2 linked regions of the Lepisosteus oculatus genome follow. Each later gene encodes a partner of the first gene's protein in a complex. Links are inferred from orthologs where the notes say so. Each region holds a gene or a part of one and is shown on either strand. Other genes may lie near its edges. The genes, in order: wdr20a and usp46.

The links.
Region 2: the proteins of wdr20a (region 1) and usp46 are in contact, whole or in part, in a crystal structure (PDB 6JLQ), measured with the Homo sapiens proteins. The link is inferred for Lepisosteus oculatus from reciprocal best matches to the Homo sapiens genes WDR20 and USP46. Residues at the interface, in NP_653175.2 of Homo sapiens: Asn41, Ser42, Gly44, Arg151, Lys259, Tyr261, Phe262, Gly263, Glu282, Asp283, Asp284, Leu285, His301, Lys304, Ser305, Trp306, Gln374, Asp375, Thr376, Leu509, Arg516, Met517, His533, Glu534, Arg535; in NP_073743.2 of Homo sapiens: Asn205, Thr206, Ser207, Thr209, His210, Arg213, Arg273, Val275, Phe276, Pro277, Glu279, Leu280, Arg281, Phe283, Asp293, Met295, Gln338, Glu342, Tyr344, Thr347, Ser348.

The regions. Positions count from the first base shown.
Region 1 is NC_090703.1:11,287,812-11,295,801, forward strand, and holds the start of wdr20a (WD repeat-containing protein 20), read right to left. Parts: upstream 3,116-7,990; 5' UTR 3,080-3,115; coding exon 2,816-3,079; intron 1-2,815. UniProt on the Homo sapiens protein: Regulator of deubiquitinating complexes. Activates deubiquitinating activity of complexes containing USP12. Anchors at the base of the ubiquitin-contacting loop of USP12 and remotely modulates the catalytic center of the enzyme.
Region 2 is NC_090696.1:78,123,086-78,130,352, reverse strand, and holds the start of usp46 (ubiquitin carboxyl-terminal hydrolase 46), read left to right. Parts: upstream 1-4,075; 5' UTR 4,076-4,730; coding exon 4,731-4,766; intron 4,767-6,153; coding exon 6,154-6,234; intron 6,235-6,725; coding exon 6,726-6,939; intron 6,940-7,267. Other genes in the region: uncharacterized protein, read right to left, coding at 191-257, 1,829-2,094. UniProt on the Homo sapiens protein: Deubiquitinating enzyme that plays a role in behavior, possibly by regulating GABA action. May act by mediating the deubiquitination of GAD1/GAD67.

The sequences.
Region 1 (7,990 bases):
CAATGCATATTTATTCACGTAGTTGACAGAATTAATGTCTTAAGCTACATCTTAAATTAAAATCTAGAATATATTTTTCTCTAAAATTGAACAAGAGATATCCCTGCAACTCTTTCAACAAAAACTAAAGCACGAAAATGAATCACAGATCCATGGATCAAAAGGCAACTTGAAATATGGCTTTGAGAGAAATTTAAAGCTGAAAAGTTACAATCCTAGTTAGTTCTGTAAAGGACATACTGCACTACTATTACTAACCACATGTTTCGCCCAGATTTAAGTGAGTGCCTGGCCAGCATGTATCCTCTGTCTCTTTGCTAAATGTGCACTCCATGTGCAGGCAGAGGACTTTCACCCACCTGGTCATCTGCACTATCAGTCACACTGGTAAACTGAAGAGTTCATATAGCTCTAAATCCTTCCTCATTCTTATAGTTTTAATAAGACCATCCAAGAGGAAAAACAGCATTTTCACTTAGATAAAAAAGGTTCCACTGAGATCTGCAAATGTGCTTTCTTGCAAGAGAATTAAGTCCATCTGTCTAACGAGAAGAGTTGGTACTTTAAACAGTAACTGCATGAGCAACATATGCAGTTAAATACATGCAAATTAATATGTACATTTTAAGCATAGACTTCTTTGTACAGTTTTTTTATTAATTCTTAACTGTAAAATATATTAGCATTATTAAGCGGACATAGCGTCAAGACAAATCGTAATAGATTTCAGTTTTGCTACTGAGGGAGGCACTAGTAAAGTCACTTCTCTAGACATGCGTCAGATTACTTGCAAAGAAACTTGCACATAAAGTTTTGTCTGCATGCAAAGAGACCAGCATAGACTTCACTTCCCAAGACTACAAAGCATTTGACAAGTTTTTCCATGAAGAACCCCCAACACCCAGTGGCAAAATCTCCACACTCTGAGAATGTGTTTGAGTCCTAAGTGTCCTACAATAAGGGAGTCATAGGCATTGTGATGGATGACAAACACTACAATGCAAAACATCGTCTAGCTATACATGTACATATGAATGAAATATGTACTATGTACTGACTAAAGATAAGAGAAAACCCTGATGTATTCACCCAGATAGACATTCGGACTCTTGACAATTAGGAACTCAAGGGTAAATCAAGCATCTACAGTTGTCTATACTGTGCCACCAAGAAGTGATTCCAGGTACATAGAAAATACATCATAAACCCATGAGCAAAGAAGGAACAAGCAGATAGAACACCATCAGCTTTAGAACAGTATTTTCAGAGCCCAGACTTTACAATTGTGATGAAAAACGGGATGATATAGGAAATTTGGATAAGGCACGTAATGGGATAGTGTCAGCTCTGGAATGTATTACTGAAAGCCTTGAGGCACATTACTCAAGAACACAGCATTCAAATCAACTTCAGGACAGAGCAGGATATAGTACACAGCCTGGCACAGGTTTCCAATTAAATACTAAGCTGTTCAGTGAAATGTAATGCCGTAGTATTCCCATTTTAATCAAACCAGACATTTTCAGGAAGCACTTTAATTTGAACCTTTTCTCAACATGTGAGAACTACCGCAGTGTTCTCAACAAATCTCAATCAACAGATATGACAGACTGTCTTTAAATATCTGGGGTTATTACCTGAAGTATTTTTTTTTTAAAATTACAATACCCTTTCAGCAGTACTCTTCCAACCCTCCTCTACATAAATGTATTACGCTCAACTCTCAAAAGTGAAACATTCCCGCATACTCCAATGACACTGCAAACTTGCTGAGCAATGCCAGCTTTATTGGGTATACGGGCACGGTGAACGTCCAGCATGACTTTCCAACATAAGGCGTGGCTTTAATCCTTCGACATTCAAATTACCTGTGTTCCCAGAGTTACCATAACCCCCAAGTACATTCACGGTGTGGGAAAACAGTGTGATTTTCTATCAAATCTGTAGCCTTCTACAGAGATCAGAGCAGACATTTTCAATACCGACCTCAACGAAGGGTTTCCAAACTGCTGAAGAAACGAAAGGTTGTCTGATAGGGCACTTAAGCCACATAATAATCATCAAGCAGTACTCTTGACACCCGAAATTACATACTGCGTCGAACAGCGACTCCGCTCATCCAGGCTGAAAGTGTTTAACAGTTTACAATACGCCCACCTTACGCATGATTTCACACATTGAATTCAGATCATTAACGTCTCCTCTTACGCCTCTGTCCTAGTCACAACCAGAGAGACCTGCGTGTCGGTCACGGCAAATTCATGCAATACACAAAACAGCTCGCACGCTAGGCGTACTAAGTTACCATATAGTTCTGCTTCGCGTACCGCCTCCGCAAGACAGGGTCGCCTTGGAAAGTGAGATCAACTACGGATAAAACACCAACCCCGAGAAAATGAGAAACAAGTAACCAAATGGAGACACATCCATTGCTTTGCGTGGCACCTCACACACAAGCTAACTGAGCAGATCTGTCACACGACCCGACTGTCGCCGCACGTCACGTCCCGAACGATTGAAGCACAGACACCGTGAAGTTCACGCACGCAAGTTTAGACACATTTGTGCACCACTTCGTCTATATATGACCATGACGGACGCTAGATGCACATTCCAAAGCAGGTGAAACAGGGCCTTTTTCAGCTGTCAGCTCAGTGCATACCACAACTGTTTAACAAGAAAGGCGAAAAGCAAACTGGAGGTAGGTGTCACTTTGGTTGCGTCAGCCGCATTATACCCCATTACTTCTCTACTTTAAAAGCAAACATTAATGCTATAAGAGCCGTTGGCTTGGAGAACGTAACGTCCTGTTTACCTTTCTGACGCCTTTGTAGATATAAAAGTATAGCTCCCGGCCCACATTGAAACAGATTCTGTCGCCGTTACCAGACTGGTCGTTGACGTTGACGAAGGAGACTTTGACGGGGTTAGAGCCCTGGGAATTGAAAGGCACCCTGTTGGGGCGGCTATATTCGGAGTGAGTGAGGAGTTTGTAGACGCCTTCCCGGGTGGTGAACTGAGTTTTAATTTCGTTCATCTCCTTCCCTCCTCCCTCCGCCGCCATCTTGAAAATTAGCATTCATCCTGCCCCAAGCCCGGATCTTACACACGGAGCATGCGTACTGCTGCTCGCGGAGCCGACTCGCATGGCGCTGGTTCGTCAGCTGATCCAGGAATTCACGTGCTTCTTCCTTAATTGCAAAATAGCATGTGGAGTGCGGGTCACAGGGCTCGTCAAGGTAAGAGCGGAGGTGGACTGCGCCCGGAGGCCATCGCTGGTCAGCGCTCACACCGCAGTGCTGTCAAGGGCATCACCCACAAAGGGTCAATTAAAAGAGAAACTTGCATGAGAGTTTCAAAATATTCACAGTTTCTGATGACGACGTCTTTCACACGTTACAAGGCTGGAAACGTGCTATCTGCTAACACGTTATCGGGTAAAAATGCATTATGTATTGGTTATAAAACACTGTATTCACATGTGTACGCATATAATATAGATCTATGTACGACTCACGGTATTTTTTATTTGTTATTATTTGCTTTTAACATTAACATATAGCTTATTGGTATAGTCTCCAGCATACCAGTCTTTCAAAATGAAACAACGCGATTGTCCATCCATAAAAAATGAAATAAAACTATAACAATAACAATAATATGTTATGGCACGTAGGGAGAGAACCGTGCCTTGCTCCACTACCAAAACAAGGGTCAAATTAATTAAATGTATTATGAGGGAAAACCTTCACTGAACATCCAGACAGTGCGCAGATCTTAAAGAAATGATCCGATCTCGAGTGAGGATAGTCGATTTCGCATCCCAGTCTTTGATATGTTTCTCGTCAGGTTTATGTACAAGAGACAGGACTTGACACTGTTGAACTTCTTTATTCTTTAACACTACATGTACGGCGGCAACGTGAGGGAAGACATCGGGAGTGCAGGCCTGATTGCTTATATCCCGTTCAACGGCATCAACGCCCCTGGGCTCTCAAATAAAACAAATAAACCATTTTTGAAGGGGAACAGCGTAAAGAAGTGAACGAGCCGCTGGATTCATAACTGACAGGTTGCGGGTTCGAGTCACCGCTGCAGACACTAATGTACCCGTCAGCCAGGTACCTTACCCATAGTTCCCATAGGGGGTAATGCCTGCGATGAACCTATGTCCCATCTTCGGCTGGGGGTTAGTCACATGGTCCTAGTCCGCTTAACACTAAGGTAACTAGGATGAGCTCGGGCCGGATGAATCACTATGCTCTGCTATGGACTTTGACTTCCAAATTTCCACGTCTCTGCTGATATTGACCTGCTGTGGATAATCACACGCAACAACCCCCATATGACCTCAAAACAGGTTAATAAGCGCTCATTTTATACGTTTGTTTTCTCTTGTAATGAAGTTGTGTTGCTGTACTCTTGTTATTTTGGCGTGTGGTACAGTTTAGTGCGATAACGGGTGCAGATTGCGTCAAAAAGCGAACCGATGGCGCCTCCTAGTGGCCAACCAAGGTTGACAACATCACGACCAAAACGTGAGACCGTAAAGCTCGAATAAAATAAGTCGAAGATACACGCATTGAACTTTATTATATTAGATTCATGAGGCGAATTCATGTTAAAGGGTGGCAGAGATCAAATATTTCATGATGCTAGGGAAAACCTGAAAATGTTTGTGTCCCACGCCTTTAAAAATGCAGTGACGATAACGTTTTCCCCGTTATCCTGTTGTCCTGACTATTTTTAAAGAGCATTACTTTTAAGAGCAGAACTGCATATTAACGACCTTTTCCTAAACTGATAAGAGCATGTACTGTACATTAAATTAAAGTACATTTGGGACCTAACGTATCTATCAAAAGTATTGGTATAGTTAATAGAAAAAAAAAATTACAACGTGTCTAAACATTTGTCTAGACAAAAATAAGATCTTATATCTTTTTCCTAGCTAAGTTTAATAAAATAATAAAGACAAAGGTACGAGTAAACAAAAACAGCATTTTATCAGCATTTTAGAAAACAGTGCAGAAACAAAAACGTTTACATTATAAAAGTTGGTCAAAAAGCTTACTAAAACCCCATCTTTTTTTTACCTTTTAATTACCGCATTTTCTTACCCTTCGAATTATGCCGCTAATATGAAATTTAGCCAACAGTGCGCTTTCCGTTTCCAGAGTCCAACTAGGAATTGATATTATAGATCTGAACAGCTATAGAGGATAGATCGCACACTTTGTAACACTGGGTGAGTCCTCACATTTTATCCCTGTGCAGAACCTTACTAGTACCTTCTTTAATTTACGTAAACGTTTTCATGCAAAATCCGATGACCCCTTCTGCACAATCCAAAAACTGGGAGCTGTTTGTAAGGAGAACGAGCAGAAACAATTGGGTTTTTTTTGTATGTCTTTTTGTGAACCGAAAGGAAAAAAAAAACACTTCCAAGTGCCTGCCCGATGAACGAGTAATATGTAAGACAACGATGAAGTGACTGCAAGCGCCCGGCGTCAAGAGTCACATGGTCGATGAGGGCCGCGCTGAAGTCTTCAGTGATTGGTGAGGACGACCTTTCTTGAAGGAAAAAAAAAATCCTAAAAAGCCCTGCAGATCCAATCCTACATATAGAGCTTTCTAGAATGAAAAGGTGAGATTTTTTTTTCTACAAACATCTCTCCTCGCGTCTTTCTAGAATCCCGGGTTAACTTTCACAGTCCTGAATCAAAACAAGAAATTCCAAGACTGTCGCTGGCCCTCCTCCGTCTAGCATGCTTGACAGCTGGGCCCTCCTACCAGGAAGAGCTGGCGTGAACTTCCAGCATGTTCTCGTTGAAGGTTACAGAAACTCATATGGACTACCTTCGCTCTGACATTGCGATGCTTAATCAATTGCGCAAGCTGGGGTTCAGCACACTTCGAGATCTTTCTAGAGATTACCTGACAAAATACGGATAAACGAATTTGTGCATTGCCATAATTGCATTTCCGCAGTCAGTTTTTTTTTTACGGATTTTCACTGAAATAAAAACACGAAACACATGCGACGTGCACTAGAAAACTGCACAAACAACCGACTATCACACAATTCTTATCCTGAGGCAAATGAAAAAGTCTGGATGAATGAATGAACGGTCAGTTGCAGTACAGGAAAGGTGCAGAAAGCAAAGGAGCATTGCAATTAAGATCTATGTCTATGCCTCCGTATTTTCGTATACATCTTAATCATAGCAATGATTGAACGACGTTTTTCTCTACCTGTCCCAAATAATTTCCCTGATCATTCTGCCTATCAGTGCTAAAGACTATTCTTCAGATCCTCCTAGCACTGCTTCTCTGGTTATCCTACAAATGTAAACAGCATCGTATTAATATCACAATATTACAAACCTAGTCCCACAAAACATACTGTACATTGATGTAATATCACAGACGAGCAAAAACACGTGCCACTCCTGGAATATCTACACAGACCATAGTAACATCCTGTATATCCTGGGAGATTCAAAGCTGTTTTCAGTTCTCATGGGTTAAAAAAAAAAAAACATTATTTTATGCTTTGCTTATGTAAGACAGCTAAGGTTCAGGGGTTGGGTGTTGTATAATGTGCCTCATCCTACGCATGTGAATCTATTAATCTGATGTATACTGAGAATATGAATGCTAGTGCTTCCTTTTTTGCCGTGCACAATAGACAGGAGTATGCTTCTTTGGGAGCACGTTGACGGTTGTGTGGTGTGATGGACAGTCGGGTTGGGATAAAGAAGGCCGGAGGATCCGTCCGGTCCCAGGTTTTTATCTTTTACATGTGAAGGAGCGGGTCTTGGCCTCAGCTGTGGTGGTGAGGTTCACAGACAGCTGCTGCGCTGGGCAGGCCTTGCTCTCTGGCCAGGGCCCGGTGGTGCAGGGGTGATTGGCGGGGCCCTGTTGCAACTCTGCATCCCTAAAAGGGAAGACCAGGACAGCTGCAAAAAGTGCCCCTATCACTGTTACTTTCTTTAGGTCCGCGCCCCAGTGGGCATTCCTTCTGGTAGTTTCTGAATGAGAGCTTCTGGAAAGTCACCCCTAGGTATAAAAAGGAGCTTAAGGCTCAGGGAGCTCAGTTTTTGGAAAACACACAAGCAAGACGAGAAGAAGAGAGAACCACACACAGTAACGCAGCTCACTGCAAAGCAACCAGCACGGTGAGTAAAAGACTACACATATGCCGGGGGGCGGGGGTGAAGGAGGAATTACGGGATAATTTTACATTTTTGAAGTATTCGGGAAATCCTCGCGCCTTGGGGCTTAAATGAATGAGGCGGGTGAATTTCTCCAGGTCCCTGTAGTTCTCCGGTGTGGTCAGTTCTGAAATGGCGGAGGGTTTTGCAGTGTGAGCAGACAGGGCACATGGCAGAGCAGCTCGTGTGGCCAGGCGCGCTGTACTGTAGCTGGGACAGCGGACTGCTAGGCAGCTCAGCAAAGAGGAGCTGATTACAATGGGGGCCTGCAGTGTGAACCGGGGAAGTTCATCCTCGTTTCACAAGAAAAATAAATCTGGGTTTATTTAATGTTAAATCCTCGATGCAAAAAATAACAAAATCAAAAAACATGCCTGAAAAATAGAAAAACTGCAAGTCTGCTCTGAAATTGTGTACTGAGTGCCAAAGAAGGGTACAGTAGCTTACAAGTGTGGTATTAATTTATACGTTCCTCTATTATGTTTGACAGAATTTGGCAGAATAAAGAGCCTTAGGGAAATTAACTGAATATTAGCAGAGGAAGACAAGTTAAATGTATAAATGCATTTAATTCTTTACTAAAAATTTGTGTCGAAACCCAGGATCTGCACAGACGTTATAATTGATTTTAACTGGTTCCAGCAATACAGAGTGTATGGTTTTGTTTATAAAAATGACATTTCCCCATGTCCAGACGGCATCTAAACTAGTATGCTCAAAAAAGTTTTTAGAATATTTTGTGTAGCTTTTAATAGTTCATATTTAAAAACTGG
Region 2 (7,267 bases), on another chromosome or scaffold:
ACACTAGACGCATGACATCCTCAGTTCCAGAGTAAATGTGTTCCTCACGACAGGATCCGAACCAGAGACGGCACCTCTGCTTCGGGTTTAAGAGAGGAGTGCTGTTCCCCCCTGTGTTGGCCACCCAAGACACTGACAGCCTTAAATGGGCAAAGCTTTAAGGGGATACAAAACCATTAAGACTGCATACCTTCCTGTCGAACCCGGAGCCACGACTACACCGCGATGGCTGGAGGACAGCATCGCCCGTCAGGGGGCTGCAATTGAAAAGACAACCTGTCAATCAGTCAGTCTCACTCTCATACACAGCACCTTTCAACACAGGGCCCTGGTGAGGCTTGTCGAGACGCGTCCACAGTCACAACCGCGAACCAGCGGGGGACCGTTCCATTGCGGCATTCAGAAACAAAAGACGAACATGGTGCATCGATCCAGTTTAAAAAAATAAGCCTCCCACAGAGAACTACTACAGCATACAAAGCAAGCACCACCGCTATGTGCACGCCAGCACTAGAATAAGAAAACGCCTGGTGTGTCCTGACGGTACCCGTGAGACCGCGCGTGTGAATCTAACCGTCTCCAGTGTCACCCCTGCATGCCCGCTCTGCGGTCCACCAGTGCAACGCCTCCAGGTCATCACTTCGACTGGGACAGTATCGACATCGGAGCTCTGACACTCAGCTCCCGCAGGGCCGGGGCTCCTGGCTTCTGGTCCAAAGTGGGCAGCGAGTGGCTGACCATTTCCCTCATCTTACAGGCGATCACACAGATCTTCCACGTGATCGAGGGCTACCGCTACCTGTAACCGCCCCACGCCAGCCTGGTTAGAAGCACTACAGTGAGGTCACCAATTAAAATAACTTAGACCCACCCTGGAGCAGATCGCAGCTGGAACACGAATCCAAAGAAAACAGGACCCTGCAGGACCCCCGATTCAGACGACACCCGAGAGGGGTCGCTCGTCACGCAACAGACCAAGGCGATCAGGACCTACCTAGGCGATCAGGACTCGGGGCAGAGAGGGCACTCATCTGTCCTCCCGTGTCGGACACGGAACGCCGCAGGCCCGCCCCCAGCTGTGGAAACACAAAAACGAGATTTTTTTCCTCCTTCTTTAAAGGAGAAAGACGCACCGACATCAAGGCGCTTCCGCGTGGAGCCCGGACCGGGTATCCCAGACCTGCTGGTGTGAAGAGCACAGTGCTGCGGGCTCCAAACGGAGGAAGAAAGGGCCGCATTTATATTTATCCGCCCCTTTCCTGGCTGGGAGGGGAAACCAGCCACAGCTCACAATGCAAACGCAGTTATCACCGAAAGCAGTTCAAGTAGGGAGCTGCGTCAGCATGCGTGAGCTGCAAAGGAACGAGTAAAAGTTTATTCCTGCTGAAAAGAGAAGGAAAACACTAAGTTTTTTTTTTCTTCTCTATTCAGCATAGAATAAAATTTTACTTGTTCCATTACCAGAGAAATACTAGCAGACGGTTCGTTCGACAAAGCTACGCAAGACGGAAACGTGGGCAAACCCGTCAGGAAAAGGCGATAACAAAACGAAACAGCAAAATCCGCATGCCACGTGGTCGCTGAAAAACCCAACTCCCCGTACAGCCTCAGCACACAACCGCGCCGCGACCTCCCCAAGCACTGCAAAGTGCATTATTACTGCGTCGCAATTCCGCTAAGCAAATTTTAATCACGTATAAAGGCTACACTACTGCTTCCTTCTACCTCTCTGAACTACACGGTTTGTCAACTACCAGGGGTAGACAGCCGGAGGCCTGTGCAGCACAAACCGCCCCCCCAGAAAACAAAGGATCCCCCAATAACTAACCATCCAGCTGATGAATAATAACGCGGGACATTGCACTCGCGTTCCCCCCACAGAAACGCTAGCTGCTGCGTCCCTCTGCGCCATTTCATTTCACGATTTCTCCAAATCTGCACAACGCCCGCACAGCCCGCGCGTCCGTCCACCGCGCGGCCCAGGAGGAAGAGGAGGAGCGCCGGTGCATGCTGGGAAACTAGCGAGCCCCGGAGCCCGGCCTCCTTCGTTAAAGGCGCAGCTCTGCACGGCACTGGCTCGACACAGCAGGCCATCGCCAGAACAGTTTGAGCGGGTGGGCAATTGGTTTGAACCGGGGGGGTGGGTTTGAGCGTCTATTTGAGACTCTACAGACGATGGTTACCTAATCAACGCCACAATATAGGAGGCACAGTCAAAAGTATTTCAGGTGGGACAGTAACTAAGAGGGAGGCCATTCAGGAGTGAAAACAGGGGGCGTTTTTAACACAAATGTTCATGGGGGGTCTGGAACACACTACCCAGCAGAGCTGCTGAAGAAGATTCCCTGGGATCTTTCAAAATATGGTGGGATGAGTTCTTGAATTCATTGAGCAGCTTCCAGCCTGATGAGCAAGCAGGGTCAAACAGTCTGACTCGTCTTCTCTCTGACATGACATACTCTGCAGTGCAGAACATACTGTACATTCACAGATACACACTGGAGCAAAAACTTTCGAAAAACACTTCATTTTTATTGTCATCTGATGGTTTAGACCTGAATGTTTTGTAGATGTTCCATTTAGGATGAGCAAAGCTCAAAGCTTCCCAGCTTCTTTGAAGGGAAATTGAGTTCTGTTTCATTTCAGCGAACCGGGGAATGTGACTGTGTAAATGTAACACAACTTGAAAGGAGCCAGAGGAGGTATCCTCCGTCCCTGGTGGGATGAGCTGTACTAGCTAATAAATCGCACGCAGCTTTGTATTCCCAACAAGCACCTCCCAGATGAGGTCTTGCAGGCTGAGTTTACTGAGTTTCTTATAAACCAAATTCAAAAGCAAACTAAAAAAAGCATTTCCATGGAAGCCCTCTTGGGAAACAATAGCCCACTCTTCTTAAGAAACCACAACCGAAGACCCATTAATCGTTTAATAAAACATTGTAGCCTCTTTACGAAGCTGGCAGACAGTTGTACAGCACCATCTATTTTAAGCATCATTAAAAACAATGAGACTTCCTCGGAACGCTGTCTCCACACAGATCCCACAGAGATCCCACAGAACTCCAAATGTCACCAACTGGCTTGATTATGGGAGATAGTGCTTCCACTGTAAACACTCTGTTTACCAGAAAAACGTTGTTACATTTTAGAAGTCTTTTTTTTGGCAAGCTTTCACAGAGCTGAAGAAACAATTGGTCAGAACTGGAAGTGCTCTGTTACAGTTGTAACGCAACGGGGGTTCAGGCGGGCACCCTTGCCGCATTAGGTCGGCCCCCCACCGTCGGGGGGCTCGAACCCGGGACTCCCGCGTCGCTCAGCAGGGACCCAGCTCGGTGAGCCGAAGAGAGATCTCTCCCCAGCCCAGGGGCTGTGGTCCTGCTGTCACAGGGAAGGGCGGTGACGTCACCTGCTCTGGTAAGCCGGCTCTTACACAGTACCTGTCGGCCGTAAGCGTTACACAGTGTTACACGTTCGCATACCCATAGATGACAACACGTGCTTCTTGCTGATGCTCTACCCTGGCTGTGACCGCAGCTCCATGGGTACTTCTAGAGGAAAGGTCTGTGTCCCCTGCTGTTGCCACACGCTAGCGTTCTACCAGAAGGACGTACGCCCCCTGACACCCTGGTTCACAGATGCTCCTCCCTAACGTCCAACAGGAATCACACCGTGCTGTGCTTCTCAGCCTGTACAGCTTCTCTAAATGTTGTTGGAACAGGTCATTTGTTTTGGTCAAAGGTTCGTACTGTTAACAGGTGCAATCACTTGGTGAAGGAGGTGTAGACTTCCACAGAATAACAGACCTCAGTAACAGACATGACTTGTCCTGTTTCCTTCGAGTGCTACACCTTTGCGAGCCTGCTGTGAGGGGATACCTACAATATCTGTTATTCGGGGCAAGCAGTCCGAGCCATGTGCCATTAACACAACAGGAAGAAAAAAACACTATACAGACTACTCCCAGCTTCAGTGCGCTCTATTTCATAGCCAAGGAAAGAGCACTGAACAGCGTGCGGAGACAAGGCCGAGCGATACTCTTAAGTTTGTCCTGAGAAAAATATAAGGACACTATTCAGTGAAGCGGTGCAACAGTGCAGCTCTGCTCAGGAACAGCAGAGCGTGTTTAACGCGGTGTGTGGAGTGGGATCAGTCCTGACAGCTGCCTTCTCTTTAAACTGCTCCAGCCTCTGTCGCCTCGCCCCCCTCCCCAGGCTCCTGGCTGCGGCGCTGGCCGGCTGATTGGCCGCAGCCCGGCTCCGGGATCCCCGCACGGCCATCCGATTAGCCCAGCCGGTCTGTCTCTCAGCCGGCCCCGCCGCCGCCGCCGCGCTCCGAGCCGGTTCGGTACCTACCCACCTCGGCGAGCGGGAGGGGGCGTGTGGCTACTTCTCCCTGCGACTCGCCGGTCCCGGCAACCCGACGCAGGCCGTCCTGTTCGCGTCCGCCGTCCGAGCGCAGCGAGGGGGCATCACCTGGCGGAGACATGCACCGAGGCGGGCGCTAGGGCGCCCCGCTGCCCTCTCGTCCCCTGCCCGGGCGGCGTGCACGCATCCGCCGGCGCAGGTCCGAGCCCGGTGGCCGGGGGGCGGTGTGTATATTGCGCCGGGGCAAGGCGGCGTAGCTCCCTGGCTCCTGGAGCTGCCGGCGGAAGACCTTTTCGGCATCGTCCAGCCTCCGTAAATCATGTTTATTTTATAAAGATGGCGCTGAGGGGGGACCCTGTAAACTAAATGACTGTCAGAAATATCGCCTCCATTTGTAATATGGTAAGTAAAGCGCTCATGCACAGGATGGCCCTCGGTGTGCGATGGTGACAGGCGGGCAGCGATCGGGGGGTACGGGGGGCTCTCTCGCCGCCGGTGCTCCCGGTGCGAGTTGCCTTAGGTCCAGCGCTGGCCGGGGCTCAGACCGGGCGCCTGGCAGGGATGCGCAGCTCTAACCGAGGGCACAAGGGCACGGCTGCCGGCCGGGGCGTCACTCAGTGGCGGGCGGGTGGATGGTTTTACTGCGGTTTCCTGCGACTTTTGCAATCGTGCGGGCTGAGATTTACCTTTTCTTTTGCCGTTGACTGTGTATATACAGTCTGTTTTCTCCCCCCGAGGATAATGCGCATCCTTCGCGTACATATTTTGAAACTTCTCCGTAGATCTGGCCGGGCAAAGAAAAACTAGGCTAATCCGCGATTAAATGGTCCCTGTTGTTCCCGACAGTTCTGAAAGACTTACACCGAGGTCAACTTTTGATAGCGTGTGGTGTGGAGCCCAGGCACCGCGCTCATTTTCCCCTCTGTCCTGAAAGTGTGTAAAATACATGATTCACAGTGCCTGTCACTGATTCCCCAAGACGAGTCTTGGGAAAACATCTGCTAATTGGAAACTCATTTTAACTGCCTCTCCTGAGACGTAAAATATTTATGATGATAACAAGCACGCTAGCTTGCAGGTTTAGTAAGTTGTGGCGAATTATGAGATAAAGTTTTTCTCGTTGTGTTCTTTTTTTCATAAAGAGCATTAAAGAAAAACCGGGACAGTTCCAATTACTTTTTTCAGCAACCTTAGACATTATTGAACATGTTCTTGCAGTGTGATGTTTAGTTCCAGTATGGAAATAATGACAGGTTCTATATGTTGAATTTGAAGGAGAAAATTATCGATACATTGCACTATAACCCCAGAACCTTCTGTCCTGATCTCAGCACAGCTCAGAAGCTCAGCAAGGCCGGGCCAGGTCTGCAGGGGGGCCACTCTGGGAAACCAGTTTGCTGTTGTAAATGGTGTTGATGGACCAGTAGGAGGCACTCTTCCCTCTGGTTACAAATTCCAAAACCATTGCAACAATGAGGTGACCAGCACACTGTTCAGCAGGAGGTGCTGTACTTCAGATTAGTTGTTAAACTGAGGTCCCTACGTCTTGGTCTCCTGTAAATCTCCTTTGTTATTGCCTGAAGAGACTGTCAAAGGATATTTGGGTAGTACTGAGAAAACTAAATGAATCTGACTTTTGCTGCAGTGTTCCTCCGAGTGGCGGTATCTGTTTTCAGCTGCACCTGCAGCTCAGCGCTCTTGAATGCAGCTGTCAGGTCGCTGCGAGGCTTGAAGTTTGAAGTTAAGGAGCTGAGATCCGCCTGTCAGCTCGATCTGTGTTTTCTTACAGGGCACCAATGCCTCTGCTCTGGAAAAAGACATTGGTCTGGAGCAGTTTCCAATCAATGAACACTACTTCGGCTTGGTCAATGTAAGTAACATTTCAATACTTATTTAATTATGCATCTTCTCCATTCATATTGCTTCGTTCTCCAGTCGGAAACTGGCACCCTGTTGGAGGAGCAGGCATTGGTGTCGAAGGGTCTTAGTCATCAAATATGGTTCTCCTAGATGAAGAGTGTACTGAAGGGGTTGGAAAGTCATTTAACCTTTGAATTGAACTGCGCATTAAAAAAGTAAAAAACTACAATCAGCAGGCATTCGCCTGGCACTAATGGCCCCTGTAGTAAAGGCCTCTGGAATTGCAGGAACAGTTGAGGCCCCGGATAAGCGGCTCTCCTGCAGAGGGTTCTGGGAGTCTTGCACCCAGCAGGCTCTGCGCAGAGCTTCCCCAGGCCTCTGGCACACGTGTCTTTTTTAAACTAGACGAGCTTCTCCCGCGGAGCAGGAGACTCGTTCTCCCCCGGGGAAGGGCAGGCGTGTAATTGAGAAACCCCCTGTCTTCCTCCTTCTCGCCTGTAGTTCGGCAACACGTGCTACTGCAACTCGGTGCTGCAGGCGCTGTTCTTCTGCCGACCGTTCCGCGAGAACGTGCTGTCCTACAGAGCCCAGCAGAAGAAGAAGGAGAACCTGCTCACCTGCCTGGCCGACCTCTTCCACAGCATCGCCACCCAGAAGAAGAAAGTGGGCGTCATCCCCCCCAAGAAGTTCATCTCCCGGCTGCGCAAGGAAAACGGTGAGAGCCTCTGGGGGCGCTGCGTGGCGGCTTCGACGAGGGCCGGTGCGTTTTTACAGAGCCCTCCTGGGACACGCGTGACAACACTGAGATCACCACACGTTTAGGTTGCTTTCTCCTTTTCCCCCCAGAAGCAGTCTTGCGTTGTCCAGAAACGACACGTTGTCCGTGTTACAGCTCATCTGTGCAGATTTCTGAGCGGCCTGTTCACGGTCATACGTGTTGTCCTGGCACAGCGCTCGGATGAGCGCACGCCAGTGGGGTCACGCGCTCAGGCTGCTGGCTGTGGACGTCGTACAGTACAGTGCTCCAATCCCAGGCATCAGTG